Arabidopsis thaliana: one gene and its partners. The protein of the gene in region 3 interacts with the protein of the main gene of each other region in a pairwise test. Each region holds a gene or a part of one and is shown on either strand. Other genes may lie near its edges. The genes, in order: ZF3, AGL102, NAC032 and AT2G23060.

The links.
Region 1: the proteins of NAC032 (region 3) and ZF3 interact in a two-hybrid assay, tested with the Arabidopsis thaliana proteins (one large-scale study listed by BioGRID).
Region 2: the proteins of NAC032 (region 3) and AGL102 interact in a two-hybrid assay, tested with the Arabidopsis thaliana proteins (one large-scale study listed by BioGRID).
Region 4: the proteins of NAC032 (region 3) and AT2G23060 interact in a two-hybrid assay, tested with the Arabidopsis thaliana proteins (one large-scale study listed by BioGRID).

What each region holds. Positions count from the first base shown.
Region 1 is NC_003076.8:17,329,484-17,334,391, reverse strand, and holds ZF3 (zinc-finger protein 3), read left to right. Parts: upstream 1-2,745; 5' UTR 2,746-2,760; coding exon 2,761-3,342; 3' UTR 3,343-3,447; downstream 3,448-4,908. Other genes in the region: AT5G43175 (basic helix-loop-helix (bHLH) DNA-binding superfamily protein), read right to left, coding at 1-131; QWRF9 (QWRF motif protein (DUF566)), read right to left, coding at 3,656-3,700, 3,778-3,885, 3,980-4,069, 4,151-4,267, 4,504-4,623, 4,812-4,908. UniProt on the Arabidopsis thaliana protein: Transcriptional repressor probably involved in abiotic stress responses. Binds DNA in a sequence-specific manner and can repress the transactivation activity of other transcription factors.
Region 2 is NC_003070.9:17,569,939-17,575,066, forward strand, and holds AGL102 (AGAMOUS-like 102), read left to right. Parts: upstream 1-2,475; 5' UTR 2,476-2,512; coding exon 2,513-2,791; intron 2,792-2,945; coding exon 2,946-3,221; 3' UTR 3,222-3,435; downstream 3,436-5,128. Other genes in the region: PEX11A (peroxin 11A), read right to left, coding at 1-196; AT1G47765 (F-box and associated interaction domains-containing protein), read right to left, coding at 4,968-5,128.
Region 3 is NC_003070.9:29,097,385-29,103,702, reverse strand, and holds NAC032 (NAC domain containing protein 32), read right to left. Parts: upstream 3,865-6,318; 5' UTR 3,675-3,864; coding exon 3,506-3,674; intron 3,404-3,505; coding exon 3,129-3,403; intron 3,040-3,128; coding exon 2,722-3,039; 3' UTR 1,944-2,721; downstream 1-1,943. Other genes in the region: PBC2 (20S proteasome beta subunit C2), read right to left, coding at 5,598-5,646, 5,799-5,893, 6,251-6,318. UniProt on the Arabidopsis thaliana protein: Transcriptional activator that positively regulates age-dependent senescence, dark-induced leaf senescence and stress-induced senescence.
Region 4 is NC_003071.7:9,811,596-9,817,987, forward strand, and holds AT2G23060 (Acyl-CoA N-acyltransferases (NAT) superfamily protein), read right to left. Parts: upstream 3,144-6,392; 5' UTR 3,039-3,143; coding exon 2,868-3,038; intron 2,411-2,867; coding exon 2,214-2,410; exon of another isoform or gene 2,118-2,213; coding exon 1,244-2,117; 3' UTR 1,187-1,243; downstream 1-1,186. Other genes in the region: NPY4 (Phototropic-responsive NPH3 family protein), read left to right, coding at 1-553, 625-873.

The DNA of each region.
Region 1 (4,908 bases), on a different chromosome or scaffold from region 3:
TCATCAGAAGAGAAAACATCAGTCTCATTTGGAGCATTGCAAAAGCTCGATTCGTTAGATGAACATTGATCAAAGTTGAACATCCCCAAAAGAGACTCCAATTCACCATCTACAAAAGCTTCATTCTCCATTTTTCTTTTCTTATGCGTTCGCCTTTACATTTATATATAGCAACGTTCAAGCTTATATTAGAGACATGAGGAGAATAACTTTGAGAAGGAATATAAATATTTGATGGCTGATTATAAAATCAGGGTTTTAAAATCTCATTGTATCTTGAACAAGTCTTAATGTTCTTAACCTACCATGCTCAACTACGATTAGTCAACTTGTGGGGTCGGTAAAAGCCAAGTTTAGACAGAGTCAAAGAGGTTATGCCACTCCATTGCATGACGAGTACATTAATGTTAGTATATTCTATATATATATAGAAGGATTCATGTTTTTCAATGAATGTTAAACATTTTAATGTACACACAATCACAAATAGAGTAAAGAAAGAATATATGGGGCGCCCCCAATGCACGTTATGTACAAAAATGTCCTGTGACAATGAACTTGTTTTGTTAGTTTTCTAACGTTTGGGAAAATAAATAGTCAATGAAATACTATAATCCAGATGTGAATAATTTCTCTTTTTCCGCAAAACATGGATGATCTTACGTTGGGGTTCGGAGTGTCGATCCATCCAATAAGAAAAAAATTCACGATTCGCTTAAACTAATTAAACTGTAGACATGTAGATATTATCGTTAATGTCCGAGTGTCGGATCACATAGCGAGTCCAAAAAAAGTGAATTCACAACCCAACATTTTTACTAACTAATTTTTTAAAAAAATATTCTAACTACAAATCGAATCTAATTAACCCAATAAGAATTGAATACGTAATTAAAGATGATGATAAACAATATAGACGAGCTACTTTTTAGTCTAAACAACAATTTACTCGTGACTAGAATATGTATCTGCATGCTAATGTGGTCGTTGTCTAATTAGCTTGATTCAAATTCCTATAATACATATTGTTAAAAGATAATGAACAAAGTAATAGTAGAAGACCAAAGGACGGCACGGAATAATTTGAGATTCCGACAAGATCAGATTCACACTCGTTTGCTTGTCTTAAGATCACCCTTACAGAGACAGATAAAATTTAATAAGTCAAAAGTCATTGTCCATAATAAAAACAAAGAAACACAGCTCGGAAATGTATTCTTGTCTCTAAGTTTGAGTTAAGGTACAATGCATTAATCTCACCGATTAGCTATTCATTGGTTGTTAGATCTATTTTTTCAACATCCCGTTACTAGATTAATTATAAAGTTTTTTCTTTCTAAAGATTACACACAAGTTTATACTAGATGTTGTTAAGCTATTGATGATTCAACCATGCATAATCTGTTACCGACGATTCTCCCATTGCAACATAACCCAAAAGGTCCCCCTTCCGCTTGTGAAAGGAAAAACTAAAGGTTTAGAGATATATGCACACATTATATTCGTGAAAGCACATGCATGACCCATATGTTTTTCAAGAGTTTACGAAGGTCATCGTTGCTCAGGCCACCAAACTTTGCTGGTATATCTGCTTCGGTAGCTTGTCTTAAACTCGTTAGTTGCAGCAAGCCTAAGAATCATTACACTTCATTAGGCTTTTCGTTTTTAGGCATCTAACATGATGTGTCTTTTAGATCTCGTAATGTGAGAAAAGAGAGAGAGATAGGTTACTCTTAGAGAATTAGGTTAATTAATTGTTGGAAATTATTTTTTAGTTAGCATAAAGACCTAATTATATAAGTAATTATACAATCTATATTATAACGTAAATAGCTAGTAAAAATGATACAACTTAGATTCTAACCTAAACGTGAAAAAAGCACCCATAATCCTAACTTTAAAAGAAAAGTCCCAAAACCTTATACTAAAGAGAAGACCATTAAACCAAAACTCTTATACCGTATCATGACACAAGTTGTTGAATCCAATTTAGTGTAACTTCAACTCTAGACATTCACGCATTTGAATTAAAACCAATAAAGAAAATTTCATGATTCTTGGTTGCAATGGGCTGTGGGAATTAAGTTATAAGCTCTTTGTTTCTTGTTGTCATGAGTTCTCTACCGAAACATCCAATCATCTTTTATATTCAAGGTTTCCTCATTATAATCTTAATCTACACACATTGCCTCCGTTTTCAAATGTTTGGACCAAGTAATGAATGCTATTGGGTTTGTTCAGAAATTCCCAAAGGTACAACAAACCTACACTTAAATAAATAACTACATATATAAGCAAAGTGTTAAAACATAAATGAAAAGCTAGATGAATATTAATTGTAAAATACGGCCTAAGTTTAGAGACAAGGTTTTTATTAGTTTTAAAGAATCAATCATTATTGTGTGTAGTTGGATTCAAATGTCAACTCTCAACTAGTCAGAAGAAGAGTATATAGCCCGACTTGTGTAACATTTCTCTCCCCCACAAAACGTGCCAAAATTAATATATTCCACTCTCACCAAATGTTGAAATAATATTTTAATTATACATTCACTTTCGTTACAACTTACAACAAACAACTTGCTCAGCACATATTTCGTTTCAACTAAATACTTAAAATAATTAGAATGGCCAATTTGGCCACCCACTCTCACTCTTCTTTCTCACGCAACTTCCTCTCTTCTCAAGATTCTTCTCCATACTTCACCTTCTTCTATATATCTCTCTGCTCTCAAATTAGGTTTTAAATTTTCTATAGCAATGGCGCTTGAAGCTCTTAATTCACCAAGATTGGTCGAGGATCCCTTAAGATTCAATGGCGTTGAGCAGTGGACCAAATGTAAGAAACGATCCAAACGTTCGAGATCTGATCTTCATCATAACCACCGTCTCACTGAGGAAGAGTATCTAGCTTTCTGTCTCATGCTTCTTGCTCGGGATGGCGGCGATCTTGACTCTGTGACGGTTGCGGAGAAGCCGAGTTATAAGTGTGGCGTTTGTTACAAGACGTTTTCGTCTTACCAAGCTCTCGGCGGTCATAAAGCGAGCCACCGGAGCTTATACGGTGGTGGAGAGAATGATAAATCGACACCATCCACCGCCGTGAAATCTCACGTTTGTTCGGTTTGCGGGAAATCTTTCGCCACCGGTCAAGCTCTCGGCGGCCACAAGCGGTGCCACTACGATGGTGGCGTTTCGAACTCGGAAGGTGTGGGGTCTACTAGCCACGTCAGCAGTAGTAGCCACCGTGGATTTGACCTTAATATTATACCGGTGCAGGGATTTTCGCCGGACGACGAAGTGATGAGTCCGATGGCGACTAAGAAGCCTCGCCTGAAGTAAGTCTTTGTTGAAGACCTGGAAGTTTATCAAATGTAAATATCAAATTTCAATTTCAAGGAACAGTTTTGTTGATTCTATTACCAATACACAATACGATTCAATTCCTTTGTTTCTGAAGTAACAGCATACTAAATTCATTAGAAAACCGAATCGAAAATATTTACAACTGACTTTTGTTTGGTTGTTAAACTATCAAGTGAATTTGGCCTCTCTATTTGAATTAGATGATCTCCTTACATTCTCATAACTCCAAAATTGCCGATAATGAGTAGCTTTCTTACTTACACTCTGTTTTGTTAACTTTGCCACCTTACTATTGTAGCTGTGTAACCTGTGTCCTCAAACTGCATTCTGTTACCTGCATAGTTTAGAGATTAATCCCCAACACTGTAGGTATAGTGCAGACAAATCTATAATGAATTTGAGATATTGTACCTGCAGAGCTGAGATTGTGTTTAGAAGGTCCCGGCACACGTCGAGCATCCCTTCGTCCTTGGCATTCACACGGCCAAGTTCTGCTGCCAAGCTACTTATTTTCCCAACCTGGGATATTGGCTTTCACTTTGAAGATACAATATGAATAAAACGCAATAGAAGATTGTGCCATAAACATTATCCGAGAGAAAAGAAGAGTCACCTTTGGCAGCAACAAGCATATGGAAGATGCCATTGCTTGCATAACATCAACTGCTGAACAAATGGCATCCTTAACACTTTGTACATTTACCTGCGATAACATGATCATCAGCAAGGATCACATGCTTTCCCAACACATAACTAAAAAATAATTTGAGTAGAATAGCCAAACCATTGCCCCGCAATCAACAGGTAGACAAAGGGTGCTGCCTTTCAAAGCTTCAGCAGCTCCTACCAAAGAACCCATATAATTCCGATCAATAACCAACCACTCTTCTAGATGTCCCATCTATACATAGGCATGAAAAACATTTAAGTTTCTGGCTAAGTAAAATTCAATTAGATGAAGCTTTTAGGAGGTCCCAATGCTGTAATAAGCAGAGCATACAAAGGAACCGAAATAGAGATATAAAAGAAAGAACAGAAAAGGGAAGAACAGAAGACTGAGAGTAACTTATATAGTGTTACTAAAAGAGCACAGGGGCTAAAGGCAGTTCAATAAATAACAAAAGCGGATTAACTTACCTGCATATTGAGGATAGATATCAGTTTCAAATTCTGCTTCAGGTGCTGCATTTCAATTCTTTTCATGCTGACAGAATTATACAGATTAGAGATACTTCTCCATGCATTGTACAGTCTTCTCTGCAATGAAAAATATAATCACTTGGACAGAGACAAGCCTGTACTAACATAAATAAATTCGAATTTTCAACACAACACAGATGTACGTACGAGATTGTTTTGACTGAAACTGACAGATTTCTACAACCAATAGCTGTTGTGCTATCAATAATCAAGATTCTAAAGCATTCAGGAAGAAAAGGTCTAACCTCCTCTCTCATCTTTTGTGAAGAGATAACAGCATTTGCTCGTGCATTAGCAAATTGCCATTGCAGCAACCTACTGTGTAATAGCCTTAACAAGTGA
Region 2 (5,128 bases), about 12 Mb from region 3:
ATTCGAAGCTTTTGAGTCGGGGGATTATGGATCTGGTTTCTGGGATTAGTGATGATGCGAGGATGATTTTTGTTGCGTAACGAGAGATTTTCAGGAGTTTGTCTACACCATCTCTTTTGGAGAGATATGTTTCGAGATGATTTAGGAAATCTCTGTCTTTTGGTTTGGTGATTTTCTCTGGAGCTTTCGTAGCCATTGGAGGAGATGGAGCTTTTTCAATTGTTGTTCTTCACGGACGCGAAGATGAAGAAGAAGGAGAATTGAAGATAACCGGAATCGAGTTTGATTAATTGGTTTGCGTGCCATTCCCGAATTGTCCGGTTTAATTAATGCGGCCGTGGAAAATGTATAAAATTGGTTTGATCTATTTTTCGCAAACAGCTTGAGAAGAAAGTTGGACTTTATTGATCTAGATACGAAAAAGGTCAATACATTGGCTGCATAGGGACCTTATTATTATATCTTCCTTTGACCTACTAGGGTCGACTCAAAAATGAAGGTGGACTGATCGGTCCCAAGTATATATAGACCTATCGGTCTCTGATTGTCTGGATCAGTTTCCACACCAGTTTCATCTGATTGACATGTCTTAAGTAGATTGGCCATAACGTCTTATTTCACTGTTAGATTTTCTTCAAATCACTTGGAAATAAAAGCAAAGATCATCACCTAGCTTGTATCACAATATGAGGAAGATATAACGGTGGAAAATCTTCCACATGACGCGAAACTCCAAACCCTTATACATGATCTCACATCTCCAAATGCGTGTTTGCATCCCAAAATGTTTTTTCCTCCATATCAATCTAAAACCTGTAAAGGATTAAAGAAAATCTTGAAACGCACTTTAACTCAATAAAAGACATGTTATCGGCTACATGTAAGGTTGTCATAATGCTCATGTTGTTCATCTCCAAAACGAGTTTGATAATGCATGATTTCGGTTAGACTATTCCCTTTACAATGCATGAATTTTCGATGATTTTTGAAGCCTTAGTCCATTGGTCTCGGATCGCCATGTCATTTGTCGTAGATTGCTAACTGATGTTGCCGGTAAAGTATTTTTGAATATATCCTCTAACGTTTCGTTGTCGAGTTGATTAATGTAGATATTTTTCATGGGTCTTCGGCTGAAAAACAGCTCAGTACGGAAAGTTGGTGCTCCAGCTAAAATTCCATGGAGTTAAATAGGGTCTCTAGATTTGCACTGAACTTGTTTTAGGGTTTTCGATTGCATGGTCGAATCACAGATCCATCCAACACCTCTGGTGTATCGGGTGAGGAATCTTCTAGTTGGATGTGGGTCCATCCAACACATCTTGTGCATCACATGAGGAATCTTCTAATTCGATATCCACATCAATTTATTTGACCTTTTGTAACACCCTGGTTTCACAAAATATGGTGGTGCATGCAGAGAAGTTTTAAAAATTTGATTTGACCACCTATATCATCAAATTGCACTTATTTTCAGTCAAACATCTGAAAAGAACTTCATAATTAAGCGTGCTTAAGTTAGAAAAATTACAGGGAATGACCTTCCAAGAAGTGATTGTCGCAACTGTATATGAGCGAGGATAAAACACGAGAAAATATAATGTGGTGATATGTAGGATCGGTAAACAAGCCTTTAAAGCCTCGTAAACGTAATGGATCGGCTATCGGGTAAGAGTGAGCCCGTGAGCCGAGAGAGGACGTGGGGTCACTAAGAAAGATGGAGGTCGGGGAGTTACAAACGGTATCAGAGCCAAACCCAGACGAATGTGGAGTTAAGAGGGTTAACAAAGTCGATTGTGACGGTCTTGATGCGCAACCAGGACGATACGATCTGCTAGAGGGATGAATTGTAACACTTTAGTTTCATGAAATATGGTGATGCATGTAGAAATGTTTAAAAGAATTGATTTTGACACCTATGTCTTTTGATGGGTGAATTTAGGAGAAGTGATTATTGTCGGATCCGTGTGAGTGAAAACAAAACATGAAATAATAAAATAAAAAACTCCTTTTAATTTAGAAAAAGTTGTTACCAAGTTTCATCAGTTTTTTATTTTCATTTTATTGATATGTCGTGGCTAGTGCGCATGTTTGACGCGTGTGAGTTTGCATTTTAAAATAAAATTTGTATATATGGAATGATATGTAGAGATACTAAATCTAATTTATAATTATTACAAAATTTGTATTTTTCCTAAATATTTTCTAATGAAAGATAAGCATTACAAAATTTATACTTTCTTCAGAAAATATATCTTAAGAATTTGTTTGGAATACCAACTCTTGACTATTATGATAAATTTGTGTAGTCAGAGTTATAAAGATATTTATGGTAGTAGTTAAAAGATAAATATATTTAAAAGGTAAATTCAAATATTTTAATAAAAAAAGGATAACAAAGATAAAAAATTATAATTAATGCGTTAAACCTACTTGAACCAATCCATCTATAAAATGGAGTAGAGTAGTAACAAAAACAACACCAACAACAAAAACATCTCTCTAAAACTAAGAAATGGGTCGTAGAAAAATAGAGATAAAATTTATTGAAGATAGCATCGAAAGGAAAGCGACGTTTTCAAGACGCCGAAATGGCATTTTTAAGAAGGCTGATGAACTCGCGAAGTTGTGTAATGTAGAGATTGCTGTCTTGGTCATCTCCCCCACTAATATACCATACACATACGGTTATCCATGCTTCAACGATGTGGTTGAGCGTATTCAAAATCCTAGTGCTTCGTCCAAACTCAGGAGTCTCATGAAAGAATTGGAACAAATCAAAGAGTTTCAGGAGGTATGTTTCCCATCATTAATATAATCTCATCCGTTAGTTTTCCTTCTTCTTCGTTCTCAACATATAGATTACAAAGATGGGTTTGCTATTATACACAGAATTAAATAATCATTATTTATTTTATATTATATAATATTTTTTTTGTCAATTTTAGGATTTGAGGAAGAAACAGCAAAGAAACCTTGAAAAGTCCAATATGAAAGAGAATGTAGATCTGAAATTGGAGGACTTAGTTGCTTTCAAGGCGAAACTCGAGGCCTATCAAGCAGGTTTAAAGAGGAAACATGTAGAGATGGAGGATTTGTCTTCTCCATCGATACTCTCAAAGAATACAAAGAATAAGATGATGAGGACCGAGTATTCGTCTGGACAGAGCAAAGGAATGTATGAGTTTCGGGCTTTCGGCCCAGGATTTCTTGGAACTATTTAGAACAATCGTCAAAATAAATATAAATATATAATTATTTATATCATATAAATCAATTACCGTTTATTTTTCTTTCCAAAAGTTTAAGGAATAAATTTTGGTTGCTTTAGTTTGAAGGAAGTTGTGTCCTCCATCTTGTTATCTTTTCAATCGGATTTTCGTAATGAAATGTTTTTTATATATAAATAATATACAATATATGTGATAATTTTGGAAAATATGTCAAAAAAATGTGAACTTTCAAATTTAGAACAAAAAAACATGAATTTTCGAAATGTCACTTAAATACCAAAGTTATTGTTGACTTTAGAATTAAATAGATAACTTTCGTTGATTTTGCCATTTCGGGTAAAACGTTACGTCAACTGACGAAAAAAATAACAGAATTAAGTCTTTTTTTTGTCATAAGATATTATTTAAGACTTAAACGAGCCAAAATTACGGGAAATTAACAGAATTAAGTCTTCGGTTATAAATTCTGTTAACTTATAAAACAACGTCGTTTCAATTTCTTTTTTTTTTTACAAGTTGAGGAATTGAACCCGCAACCTGTGAGATATAACAACTTTCCTTTACCGACTTAGCTCGCAGTTATTTATATGTTCTCAGAAACATACATATTTCTATAGGTTATAACAAAATGCCCAAATTAATAAAAATTTAGGGTTTCGATCCCCTTTTTCACAGTCTTCCCAATTTTAAAAGTTCTTTCCAAGAGGGAAGTCGATTGATGACGTATCCTCCGAAAATGATGAGTAAATCTAGAGAAAGCTTGATCAGAAGATGAGAAGATGGTGGATTCTTTAAAATCGTCGAGGTTTAGATCTTGATTCGCGATCTTTAGAGTGAGCCCCATAGAGATGTAGCCCGAATCGGAAGTTGATGCCATTGATGCGTTTATCGAGCTTTTGTTTAACCTATATAATTATCTATGTTAAGCAGTATGATGTTTTTAAACTAAGAACTTACTTCTAAGAAGCAAGAGAGAGGAGAGACTTTAGAATTTAGAGTGTTTTGTCTTTGAGAGCTTGAGAAATAATGAGAGGCTGGGTCTCTTTATATAGTAGAGGAAAATAGGATTTTGTGAGAATATTCTCAGGATATGCATGACATATTTTGAGACTATCCTAAGAATATTTTGAGACTATTCTGAGAATATTTCCATAAGATTCAACTCAGCAAGCCCAATAACTCACAAGCATGACGGTCCGCAAGCCCGACAGCCCTTGAGTCGACGATGGGACGTCCCGACAACCCGCAGCCCGGCTCATCCTAGTTCGGTTCGGTTCGATCAGGTTTGGCCCAAGTGTCCCACTTTACACCCTTATTTCTTATTCAATACAACTCCGTTTTTGACGTATGAGTATACCATTTTGTAGTACTCTTTACCCGCTTTCCAATGCACTAATGTCCCGATAATTCCGTTCAGCCGTTTGGTCGAAATTTGGCGGAAAAGTCACCGGAAAGGTTTTGTCAAAAAAGTTCCAACAGGTATATGCGTAATCTTGGTGCAATTCACTTATAGGGCCCAAAAAGATAAATAAAAGTCTTTAGAAAGATAAGGATCGAGTTACTACTACTAAATGATTGATGTTGAATTTGTGAAATGCTGTAGGGAATTGGCAAGGGAGGAAGATGACACGTGATAGAATCAAAGTAAGGGATGAGAACTTATAAGAAAAAAAAATCATAATTAAACTTGCAAAAATGATCATTCTAAAGGAAGAACAAAAAAGAAAAAAATTAAAATTATTGCAAAGACATTTGACTCTCAACGTGATCCAAGAAAGCACAGAACGCAAATATAGGTCCATATGGATCTCCATTATTGACCCTAGCTTGGTCGTCTGCAATTTCTTTAAGTTCGAATCTTCTAAAGGTTTTTTTCACCGGATCAAAAAATAAAATAT
Region 3 (6,318 bases):
CCTTTTGCTCGTTTGTCGTTGTCGAAATCAGAAATGGTGAAATTAACTCTCTCGAATGAGGAAGAAGAACGTACGAGAGAAAGAGAAGAGATCAGTCCCTTTTTTTACTTTTTTTCAGTTTTCGTTCGTTTTTTTTTTACTTTTTTACTTTCCTTAATCATCAATTTGTTTTTCCCAGCCCTTAATCATCCAATCTTATTTTCCCATAATTATCCAATTTTCTGTCATCATAAGCTTGTTAACTAGTACATTTGAGTGTCCTAATATCGATTTATTATTTCTCCACATTTGATTTTTTTTTTTTTTACTTTTAAGTCAGTTGAAAAAGTATTTATATGATTGAAGATTTGGTTGTTGAATTTTCCACGGCGGCCATAATAATGGAGTGAGTGTGATTTAGTTAGAATTCTGAATTACTCTTATCTTAGCATAAAGTTGTCCAATCTAAAGAATAGGATTATTGTTAGATTTTATAAACATTGAAATTTTAGACTTTTTCAATGTCAACTTTGTTTGGGTCTCCATTTGGTTGAGCTTATCTTATTCATTTTTTAGCCAACAAATTAGGAAGAAATAAAACGTTCCTCAAGATTCATTTTTTCCCTCTATTTAACGCATGTTTTGATAAATGTAAAAGTATTGGAAGTTGGAACATTCCTAACTCCTAGGTTGTGTTATGCCAAAACCAGGTAAATTAACATTTAAAACTACATCTAAGTTTTGTTCTTTAAAGTTTTAAGAACTTTTAAACTGAAATTATGTGTCTATGTATTATCTTGCGTTTTGACCATGTCTTGTTTCCAAACTACTACTATATGATTTGGTCTATTAACTCGGAACCATTTAACCAAAATATATGTTGTAACAATTAACCTTATTCCAAATGGGGCATAGAGCGGTGGACTAATTATTCTCTACGTTATAAAACATGAGTGAATATGTATGTAGCCATCTAGCTATTTACAAAAATAGCATCCATCTTGTCAACCATATATACACAGAATTCTCGCACAAGTCACATAATACATGCTCCCAAAAATATTATAGTTTTAAGTTATAACCTAGGCAGAAAAATATTCTATTCACAGTTTTATCTTAACCGAGTTGTGATCTCGAATCTGTCCAATTTCGTTAAACTATGATATGTTTGTTGAAAACTGGACTATTACATAAGTATTATTCACATCTACATACATTGGTTAATTAGAGAGAAATCACTAATTTGGTTGTGACGAATGCGAGTTAATTAAACACAACATTATGCATTGTGGATAACAGATTTACACTGTTTGATGGAGTATATTGTCCATATGATTTGAATTTCCTGATTTAGTAGGGGAAAAAAAGAGTTGGATAGATTTTAAAACTGTTTTAATGCTATTGGAAACATGAATAATAAATTAGTATAAAGTGTAAAGAAGATTTGGTTGTAAATTGAAAGTGAAGGTTGTAAGAGCAACAACAAACAGACCTAACATGGACTTCAAACCCCACACTTCCCCAGTGAGATTGACTGTCTTCATTTTTTTCCAGTTCGCAACAAATATGTCTGGTCCCCTTACTTTACTATTCTTTTATACTATGACATCCAAGCTTTTAATCTTGATTTTCACTTCCCTTTTTATAGATTAAAATATAGATTAGAGACCACATATACACTCGCAAGTTTCTTAATTAACCTCTAACAAATCACATCTTATGAAAACTTGAGCATTGCGCAGTTTAAACGTTGATACTTAATTTAGACGGCCATATAGTAGATACCATGTTATAGGAAATAATCATCTCATAACAATTAGATGGAGGATAAATTTATTTGAAATAGTATTTATGTCATCTACTCATAACTATTTTTATTTAATGACATGTGATAATAAAAGAAACATCATTCAATTTCATGAGCTACAAAATCATAAAGATTTAAAACTTGTGAATTCATAATGCATCAAATTTATTATATTGTTCTTGTAGAAGATAGTTAGATCAGTTTTATAGTAAGGAACTTTACGAAATTTCAGTCGTCGTTTTCGTTAGATAGCGATGTATTTGACTTGGACTCCGATTTAACCTAAACAATTCAAACCGGTTAAACTAATCATGCCTCGGTCTTATTAGGAAAGACAAACTCGTGTCAAAATCAAATAAATATACAAAAGACAAAAACAAATTAATTAGAAATTAAAGCGAACAATGAGATTTGTTTGAATGCAAGTTGCAACGATAAGACTGTTATCTGTCAGACCCTACCATTACCGACACTTTTTCGATACCATGCAGTCAGTAAAATCGGATCTCGAGCTCCCCTCCCTCCCTAATACCCCAAACACTAGTGATATCTTCCAATTTCTTTATTTTATTTTAGTTTGTAATTTAGTTACTATTTTTAACTTATATATATATATAACAAAGCTAGATTGTAGTACAACCATAACAAAAAAAAAAAAAAAAAAAGAAGAAGCTAGATTGTAGTTTTGAGTGAAAAAAAAATGTAAAGAATATATAAGTGATTAAAATGAATTTATATTGCTTCCTGAAAATAACAACACAATACAGTAGCTTGTCTTACTAAGGGAGAAGAAAGGCTAAGGCCCAATTGTTGTTGAAAAGCCCAATGAGGTCACTTCTGGATCAGCTAGCGGGTTTCAAGACGGCTACCCGACACGTGCGAAAACAGACAGTGATAGTTTCCACTTTCCACTAACTCTAATCGCACGTGACAACTCAGAAAGTTCCCTGCCTAACCACAAGTGGATCAAGCGTCGTCGACCACATCTGATTCCCGCCCAATAGCCGTGACACAATCTCGTTATCGGCGATGGCATCTACGTAATTAAACGGAAAATCAAGGGCATTACTCAACCGACCGTTGCTACACGTGAATTCCGGTGACACCGCTTGCTCCGAGCCGGAGATCAATCTCGCCACAGATTCCGGTGGACACGTGTCAGTCACAGGCTTTAACCCGTCCTCGATATCGCTTCGTCGCTTCTCGATGACACCTTTCTTGTTATATATACGACACAATACCCAATCGTCCAACTGTTCAAGAATATCAAAAACACGTCCGGTTAACTAAACCGATTCAAAATCATATTCAAAGTTCGGTTTGAACTGATAAATTCACTCACTCTTAGACTGTTTTTCTTACGAACCGACCGGTCAACGTCAGCGAGCCGGTATTCGTGCATAATCCAATTGGTTTTCTCTCCATTTGGAGGTTTTCCCGAGTAAAACACTAGAGCCTTCTTAATACCAACCGGTTTAGGACGACCTATTGGTTTATCAGCTCCGGTAGCTTTCCAATATCCAGTACCAGCTGCACGGTTGGGTCTTGAACCGTTTGGATACTTTCGATCTCTTGGTGAGAAAAAATACCACTCCTTTTCACCGTACAAAGCCATGTCTGTAAATTGTAAACCGGTTTATTAATTCTTAGACCGATTTTATAGAATCCTGTTACTGTTAGTGTATAGTGTGATTTAAAGGGGAAAAGAAAGAAACGTACCGGGAAGGTCCCAAGGATCATATCGGTACAAATCGAGTTCGGTGATAATCGGAGCAGGGATCGGCTGCGACGCGCATTTACGACAGAGATACATGAGGACTAGCTCCTCATCCGTAGGATGAAATCTAAATCCTGGTGGAAATTGCAAATCAGCCCCAGATTTCATCATAATTAACCTATTTTCCCCTTTATTGTTGTTTAGCAAGAAAGAACTGTAAAGATATGTTTGAAAGTTGAAACTTCTCTCGAGCAAAGAAGAAAGATGACTATATATATAAGAAAGGTCGTGGACACATGGCGGATAGACAGGGGCTTTGTGTTGGTGGAAAGGAATCTCAAACAAAAATAGAAAAATGGTTAAATCTGTATAGTGGAGGATTCATTTGAAGTAGATGGAGAGGGACACGTGGCAGACTGTAATGTAGGTGAGTTTTGTCATTGCTTACGTCAGACTATTTGGAATGTAGCGGTCCGAGAGCATGTCGATTTTGGGAACGAGCAATAAGAATCGACACGTTCGATCTTATGCGTGTACTTTCCTAAAGGAGACCAAACGTTGACCGTATCTCAAAATTGTTTCTCTCATTGATTTCGTGAGATTTTTAAGGGTTGTATTTTCGATCTTACTATTTTTAATGTCTATTTTTTCTTTGTTCACCTGTTATTTTCGATCTTATTTGAAATTATAAACGAACGTCATCAATTGATTAATGAACATTCTTTTCGCCGTAAATTTAACTATTCTCTTTCCGCCGTAATTAAAAAGTAATGATTACTTTAAGGATATATTCTTCTCCATTAAAGATCGATACTCTATATCCTTGCTTCCACAATTGTTGGTGTATCAATTGTGTGTGTAAAATACATTCCACTTTGAAATTCAAGGTCTATAACATTTACTTTTATAAAACTAGTACGTAAAACGTCGCATCCAAACTCAAATTCGAGACAAATTAAGTTTCTTTCTTTATAACCACGAAGAGGTCTATGATTTAGCGTACACTAACGGCAAAAAAAAACAGAATCGCAGCTGTTAGTTTTCTTTTTAAAAAGCACCTCATAGTTATCAACTTATGCTAATGCCCACTTAATTCTGTCATTTTCTCTAATGGAGTCCACAAGAACGTCATCTCGAGCCGCCTGTGCCACCTAATAGATAAACGCTTCGATCTATGCCACGTGGAGCCGGAATGTTAGTTCTGCCGCTTTTTATTGTGGCGGGTTGAATTTGATAAAAAGCTCAAAAGTGACCGAAGAGTTTAGACACGTGACATGATGTGGATGGTTCATAATCAAAATGATTAGACGCATGAATTTACGAGCATCGATAATGATTGCCCAAGTAGAACCTTTATATGCTTTGCCCACACAGGTAGTATATGAATACCCACCGAGATTAGTTAGGTCGGCAGGATTGGGTTTATATTCGTGTAACGACCACATCTATTGCACATGCCACGTTTTATATGAAATCATCAAAACGCTTATGCGTATGGATTTTGCCTCTCTGGCTCGATCTAACGCCACAAACAGAACAGGACATGCAAAATCATTCACAATGTCAGATGGCAGCATCAGGATCATCATCATAATAGTTTGATTCGTTTCTATTTGCAGTTACTAGTGATCACCTTCCAAATTACATTGATTTCATAGTTATTGTATGATTTCGTTAGCCAAACCATGTTTATTGATAGTTGACCAAAATATTTCGTTGACATGTTAACGTCTTTCTAAAGTCACCCATAGTGAATCGAACATGAACACTAAGAAGACAAACAACAAAACGTGTCACTGATCAGTACCAACCTTGAAAACTAAAGACTGCGACAAACCAGAAATCTGGAACACTTGGTACGAAATTAAAACAGAAACAACAAGGTACATAGAATGATCGAGTACTGGAACAAGATAACAACTGCTATTTCTTCATTTTCATTGAACTCTATCAATAGCAAATAAAACATCCGAGAGAACGAACCACAATATCCAGTTTCAGAGAAGGAACATAGTTACTATGGGACGAGAGCTTCTACATAACCGGGTTAAGGAGTATACCGAACTTGGACAAAAGCAGATATGTGATATCAGATCAATCCATCCTTCCCTTCAGGATTCTCTCCTTCACCTCCTTTGGTGTTCTGGACAACATGACCATGAAAGAATGTTACTATCTTATATAATACATATCCTTAGAAGATAAGTGCACATGAGGTATATTCTGTAAGAAGCCAGATGTGACAGAAAAAAAGAAGAAGAAGAAGAAGAAGAAGATGAGGAGAACAAAACTTACACAACGTAGACATGTCCTCCCCACCCACTAAGACAATCGCGGTCAACTGAAGAGAGAAGTGCTTGTGAAATTGTCTCGAATAGTTCCTCAGCTTCCTGAAACTCAAATTTGTTAAGTCTAGTTATATGCTTTTCATTTCATCACGAGTCTGTTTACAATGCACTTCTTAGAATGATGACCTTGAAATTCAAACTTTATCGAAGCAGTACTATGGCAGGGAAGTAATCGCAATATTGAAACATCTTAATCCTAAGCCAAATTAAAATATACAGAGAAAATTATTGGAGTTACGTCATATATCACCAGCACTATGCACACAAATATTCCTACCAGATCAAGATTCTACAATAGAATACTTACATATGAATGATCCTACCAAATTTTCAGGTGATAAACACACATTTGAGTATCCAGTGAATCGGTACAAAAACAAGTTTTCAGAAGGCACATACCATATCTGGTTTGAACATGGCTTCACAGGCACCATATAGAGATTCTGAAGCAGTTCCCGAGACAACAA
Region 4 (6,392 bases), on a different chromosome or scaffold from region 3:
GCTTCACATCGATTTGTATAAACAAGCCATCAAAGCAATCAAGAACCGAGGTAAAGTCCCGAGTAACGTTATTGGAGAAGCATTACATGCTTATGCAATAAGAAGAATAGCTGGTTTTAGCAAAGAGTCCATGCAACTCATTGATAGATCTTTGATTAATACAATCATAGAGCTTCTCCCGGATGAGAAAGGAAACATTTCCTCTAGCTTCTTGACCAAGCTACATCGAGCATCGATCTTTCTTGGATGTGAAGAAACCGTGAAAGAAAAGTTAAAGAAAAGAGTCAGCGAGCAGCTTGAAGAGACAACAGTGAATGATATCTTAATGTATGATTTGGATATGGTGCAGAGCCTAGTGAAGGAGTTTATGAACCGTGATCCGAAAACTCACTCGAAAGTATCCGTGGCAAAGCTCATTGATGGATACTTAGCTGAGAAATCAAGAGATCCTAATCTCCCTCTTCAGAACTTCCTCTCTCTCGCTGAGACACTCTCTAGCTTCCCAAGACACTCTCACGACGTGTTATATCGCGCAATTGACATGTTTCTAAAGGTAAAACAAGATTCAAATCCTCTGTTTTTCATAACGTTTCTTGATTTGTTAATAATTTGGAAAATTTTCAGGAACATTCGGGGATTAGCAAGAGCGAGAAGAAGAGAGTATGCGGGCTAATGGATTGTAGGAAACTATCCGCGGAAGCGTGTGAACATGCGGTACAGAACGAACGTTTGCCAATGCGGGTGATTGTGCAAGTTCTCTTCTTTGAACAGATTAGAGCCAATGGTTCATCAACAGGATATAGCACTCCTGAGCTTACCACTACTACTCTAAACACTGAGGATGATGAATGGGACCATGAGAAAGAGTTTTGATTGAATCTTTCTTATTTTGTTTCTTCAACACCATCTTTGAGTTTTACTGGTAGTTTTCATTTTCCTAAATTAGAAAACATTTGGTGCTTGACCTTTGTAATTGGGCCAAGTTTTAATGGGCTTTGTGTTCGGCTTGAAGCCTTTCTCATCTCGAATTTTAAATGAGAATAAAAATCAGAGCAAATTTTGCATTCATTTGTCTCGTTGATGATGGTAATTTCACTAATTTGGGAAATAAAATCACAAACTTGTAGTCAAACAATAATGGAAAAATTTGGAAATAAGAAAAATAAAAAAAATCTGATAGAGAAAGTTGAATAATATTCCTTTCCTTAAATATAAATTAATTATGTCATTTTGAGTTATAAAACTAAAATTCTCTAGGGTCAACAAAAATAGAATCGCCAGGTGGCGATTTAGTCCAATCACCAACAGAACCATCACTATAATCTTCTCCAAGCCGTTTAATACACCACAAATCCTCAGCGCACGATAGCACTTTCCAATGCGGTATCCCTCGCCGGAGCGGCTCTTCGCCGGCGACTTCTGCCGCCACCACGCCGCATCCTCCTTCCTTTGCCAAATTATGTGCATGGTCACACAATGCCTTCACCATTTTCTCCGCGCGTGGTCCTTCTCCGCCGATTCCGTACATAAAATGCAGCCCAAACGGCCGGAAAACCGCCGGGATCGACGGTATTTTCAAAAACGGTAGAGTTTTATCAACCATGCGCGTCGCTTTTGAAACCACGCGCCTCAATCTCGACGCGCCGCGAACTTCTAATCTAAACGAGTCTTTACAATTCCACACGCTTAAAACCGCCCACGAGTCCGGTGGATACTCCAAGAACTTAGCCGAACCGGGCCATGACCTAGACCCGGATCCGTAACAACTGCCACGTGGAACCGCGACGAATGTTCCTAACGAGAGTTTGTTATTCAAAACAGAGTCAATGTCGCGAGGGAAAAACTCGGTTGTGCTAAACCGAAGCCGGTATAGTAACTCAGCATCAGACGGTTCAAGCTTAATTACGGTAACCCGACGAGAAATGTTGACCCGGTGTGCGTAAACCGGGTTAACCAAAATAGACGGTGTACGAAACTCGGCGTAACCACATTTTCCGGTGAAAAGATTGACGGAAGCGTGATTGTCGTTTTCAGTTGCAAAATAGGAATATTCAGCCCCGTTTTGACTAAACCAATCTTCCATAGCCTTCACGAGCTTAAACCCTATCCCTTGTCTCCTGAAGTAATTAATTAAAAAAAAACGTGATTAGTTTAAGCGTTAATTACTCGTGATTGGTTTAGCGTTAAATGCGTGAGATTTAATTAAAACGTACCGGTGTGTAGGAGAAACGCGGAGACCCAAAATGTAAGCGAGTTTAGTGTAAAGTGGTTTGGTAATAACGACATCGTTTTGGGATTTGTTATGAGTTAAATCAAGTCTTTTGGTGGTGATACCACATGTAACGGTTTTGATACATCCCCGAATCATTCCAACTAACTCTTTCTTCTCTTTCGGACCAATCTCAGCCACCTATTACAAATTCCAATTTTAAGTTAAAACCTTCTTTTTATTTAATAGTTAACAATAATAATAACAATAAAATATTAATAATAATAATAATAATAATAATAATAATAAAGCTTTTGGGTTAGTTAGTTCATGTAATTGCTCTTTATATAAAGAAACGGGTTTTTAATATCTTCGGTTTGAGTTGTAACCAGCATGAGGCAAGAAGGTGAATGTCGTTTCACTTATCATTTTTTAATTAATTAACTATAAAACAAAACAAAACAAACCATTTTTTATTTTGATAAACAAACACAATCTTTTTTTTGTAAGTTAATAATTCGTATATTTGCTTCGTCATTATGAAAAGAAATAAGATTTCTCACTAATTAGTGATAAAATATATTTTGGTTAACAACTTAAATTTAGAAAACTGTATTTTTTTATATATTTTAAGATTTAGGTGTTATGAGTAATTTACCAGCATGAGGTAAGAAGGTGAATGTCGGACACGGCAAATAGGGTCACCTAAGAGATCGGTGAAGAGAGAAAGTTTTCCGGCTGGGCCAACTTCGCACCGCCGTTCAACATCTTCTACAGTGGCTAAGTCTTTACTTGGGTCGTATTCTCTAACCTCCACAAGCACCGTCATATTCTCTGTTTTCTAATTCCTCTAATAACTAAAAACAGAGGAGATTGAGAGAGCGAAAGAGAGAGAGAGAGAGATATGGAGAAATGAGAATAAAGTGTGAAGTAGTAGCTTAGGGTTTTATATAGAGGAAAAGAAGTGAGACTGTTGCAATAAGAAGTCAGCAGATTTTCCGAGGACATAGGATTTTTTTTTTAATATAAATATAACGTGAGGTATAAGCAAAGAACACAGAAGCTATGATGTGAATCTAATGTTTAAGCTATACGAGCTAAGATTTTTTAAAAATACAAATAATAAGATTTTTAAAAGGTTTTGAAAATGACTCTTGGTATTATTTTCGGCTGCCATTTTAGTTATGAATAACAAATTAAATAGTTCTATCATTGGAGAGAGTTAATAGGACCCAATATTAATTCCCTATTAATTATGCTCATTTTTCGCAATGTTCATTTTTTGGAATATACTGTTTTATTTTATATAGTGAATTTTTCAGTAAACAAATGAACGAATCTAGAGGGAATTGATTTCATGAGATCATGCACAGAGGAAAAAAGAATTTGGAATGATCAGATTAGTAGTATCAATACAATAATCTAATAGTGGAGGGCTGAGTTAATTATTCTTACTTATTTTCCCCGTTTAATAAAATGATTATTTTTGTTCTTTAAACAATTGTTTAGTTAGGAATTTTATACAAAGATATCAGAGAACAACTCAATATGGAATTAGAATAATTTTAAATGAAATAGAAAAATAATTATTTGTCGATGCTATGAAGTGAGAATATTAATGGGTGATTAAGACGAGCATTGATATGGAACTTGCTCAGAAAAGAGACGTGGAAAGTGTGAGTGAGAAGTGGAAATGGCGGCTTATGGTTTCTCTCACTCTCTTTTCATTTTCTCTTTGTTAATTTTATTTGTTCATAATTATCCGTTTTTGCATGAACGTATGTATAATTGTTACTCTTACCTTACCTCTAATCATTTGCTCTAAGTCATTGTTATTGATAGGCCTAGTTATTGACACGGCATCATAAATGAGCCGTTATGTTAATAAAATACATATATGAATACGAAAGGAGATGCAAAAACTCAACCCCCAAAAGAAGAAATATGAAACAGAATCGTTTTGTATTTATACTACTTATCATTATACGAAAGTTAACATTTTTGTGTTGACAAAAAATAATTAAACATTTAACTAACAACAATAATTTGTAAAACGAGTCATTGGCTGCTTATTAAACACTACATATATGTAAATCGTTGCAGTAAAATGTAATCGTATATCACTAGACACTAGTCTTACTCTTATCATCAATCTTAAAAGTGGTTAAAAGTAGTAGAAACAAAATAGTATCATTGATTTATTTGTGTATTAATATCTTTTACTTTTTCTTACGTTAGTAAGAAAAACATGACCATGTATATATAATATACTCGAATTTGCGTCTCCTTGAATTTTCATGTTTTGAAACGGACAGGAAAGGTTACATAAAAAAGAAAGGGACAAGAAAAACTTCATGACTTGAATAAAGGATATGTATCACGACAACATTATAGTTGGCAATATAAAACAATTGATATGTTCGACTCATTAACTAGTTGAAAAATTCCCCTTTTATAAAGTTAGGCTACTCCAATCACACAATTAATCATTTTTTAAAAATCGCTTGGTAATATTCACCTAATGAAATCGGATCAGAATGATGGAATTGTAATCGAGAATTATTAGCAAAACAAAATCGAATAAATGAATATATCGTATGAAAGTGCGTTTGGCAATTGGCATGGCCCCCATTTGTTTCCATAACAATCTTAAGACTTTTTAATCAAACTCTTCTAAAAGTTCAATAAAATTAGCAAGTGTGTTACTAAAGAACCTAATTATTCCGTCAAATTTCAAAATAAGTATGTCGCCTTAATTAGTCAATTGATGTGTATATCATCTAGATGCTTATAGACATAAATAATTTGGATTCGATTATATTTAATCTGTCTATTCATGGGATCAAGCATTTTTTTTCTCCCACAGGATTGTCTAATCGTAGATTCCCACCCTTTCAAAATAATAAGATACTACCAATTTACGTATATCCTAATATCCATCACATATTAGTTACTGTGAATATATGATCGTTATTCCCATTTCGTATAGAAATTTAAAACAATATCTGAATATCGACCATCTCTATCTAACATAAAGATATATTTATATTACTCAAAAACGCAAAATGTCGAACCAAGCAAGACTTGAGAGGCATTCAAATGGAAAAATGGGGTTTTCATAAACACAGGATTGTCGTGAACTTTTGTTATTATATAGTTGTACCAAATATTTTCTTAGTTATTTCCATTTGGAATTATTCTTTGATGAGGTGAGTAGTATTAAGTTATTTATAAAAATTGACACTAAACTAATAATTCAGATCAAAATGTAGATTTTTCCTTTGTAAAATACAACCATCTCAATTTGAATATGATGTGTCATCTATAGTCAATGATGTACATGACAAAAGCGCTTACGTCATAGGATTCAGAATAAACTAAAAAGAGAGACGAAGAAAGGCACTAATCTAAGGCAAATATAACGGTGCGTAGTTTCAGATATATCTTCCCATCTTACCTTATAATGTTCTCCACCGTCACATTCGTGTATGCTAGAAATTTAGTGTTCCTTTCTTAGTTTTTGTTCAAGAAACTTATAACTTCTTTAGAGTTGCTAGTGTTGAGATTGAGTCTTCGAATTAGGTTTCGCAAAAGAACTATATTTGTAGACTTATACGTATTCTTGATCCTTTCACGATTTCAAAGTAAAAAGAAAAAACAGAAACAGAAATTAAAAAGTTTGAGGAAAGTGACTTTAGTCAAGTATTAAACGGTTCATATTTTCGGGTTTTTACATCAAAGTTCTATTCCAGCAAATTGTGTTATCAATCAAGATGTCTTAAAAAAAATAAATACAAATCCGTTTTAGTGATTCGAGTTAACTTTCACCGAACTTAGTTTAGCTCGAACACTCTATTTTACCTAGAGTCTTTAGGACCTTCTTCTTCTACGAGATAAAGAGATAGTCTTCCCGAAACATAGTCTATCATGAACTTATTATGTCGTGTTAGATAAAAACTATATATTTTTTGTAGGTTCAATTTCTTTTTGTCATAATATATTTCAAATTACAAGATTAAAAAGTATGGTTTCCGGTTTGTTTTGAATTTATTTACTTATTTTCTGTTAAAAATACTTTTAGATAAATATATACATATAAACTAAAAATTCTGTACAAATTTTCAAATAAAATTTCTTAATTCCGTTTAGAATGAACTAAGTCGGTTTAACGGCATAATACACT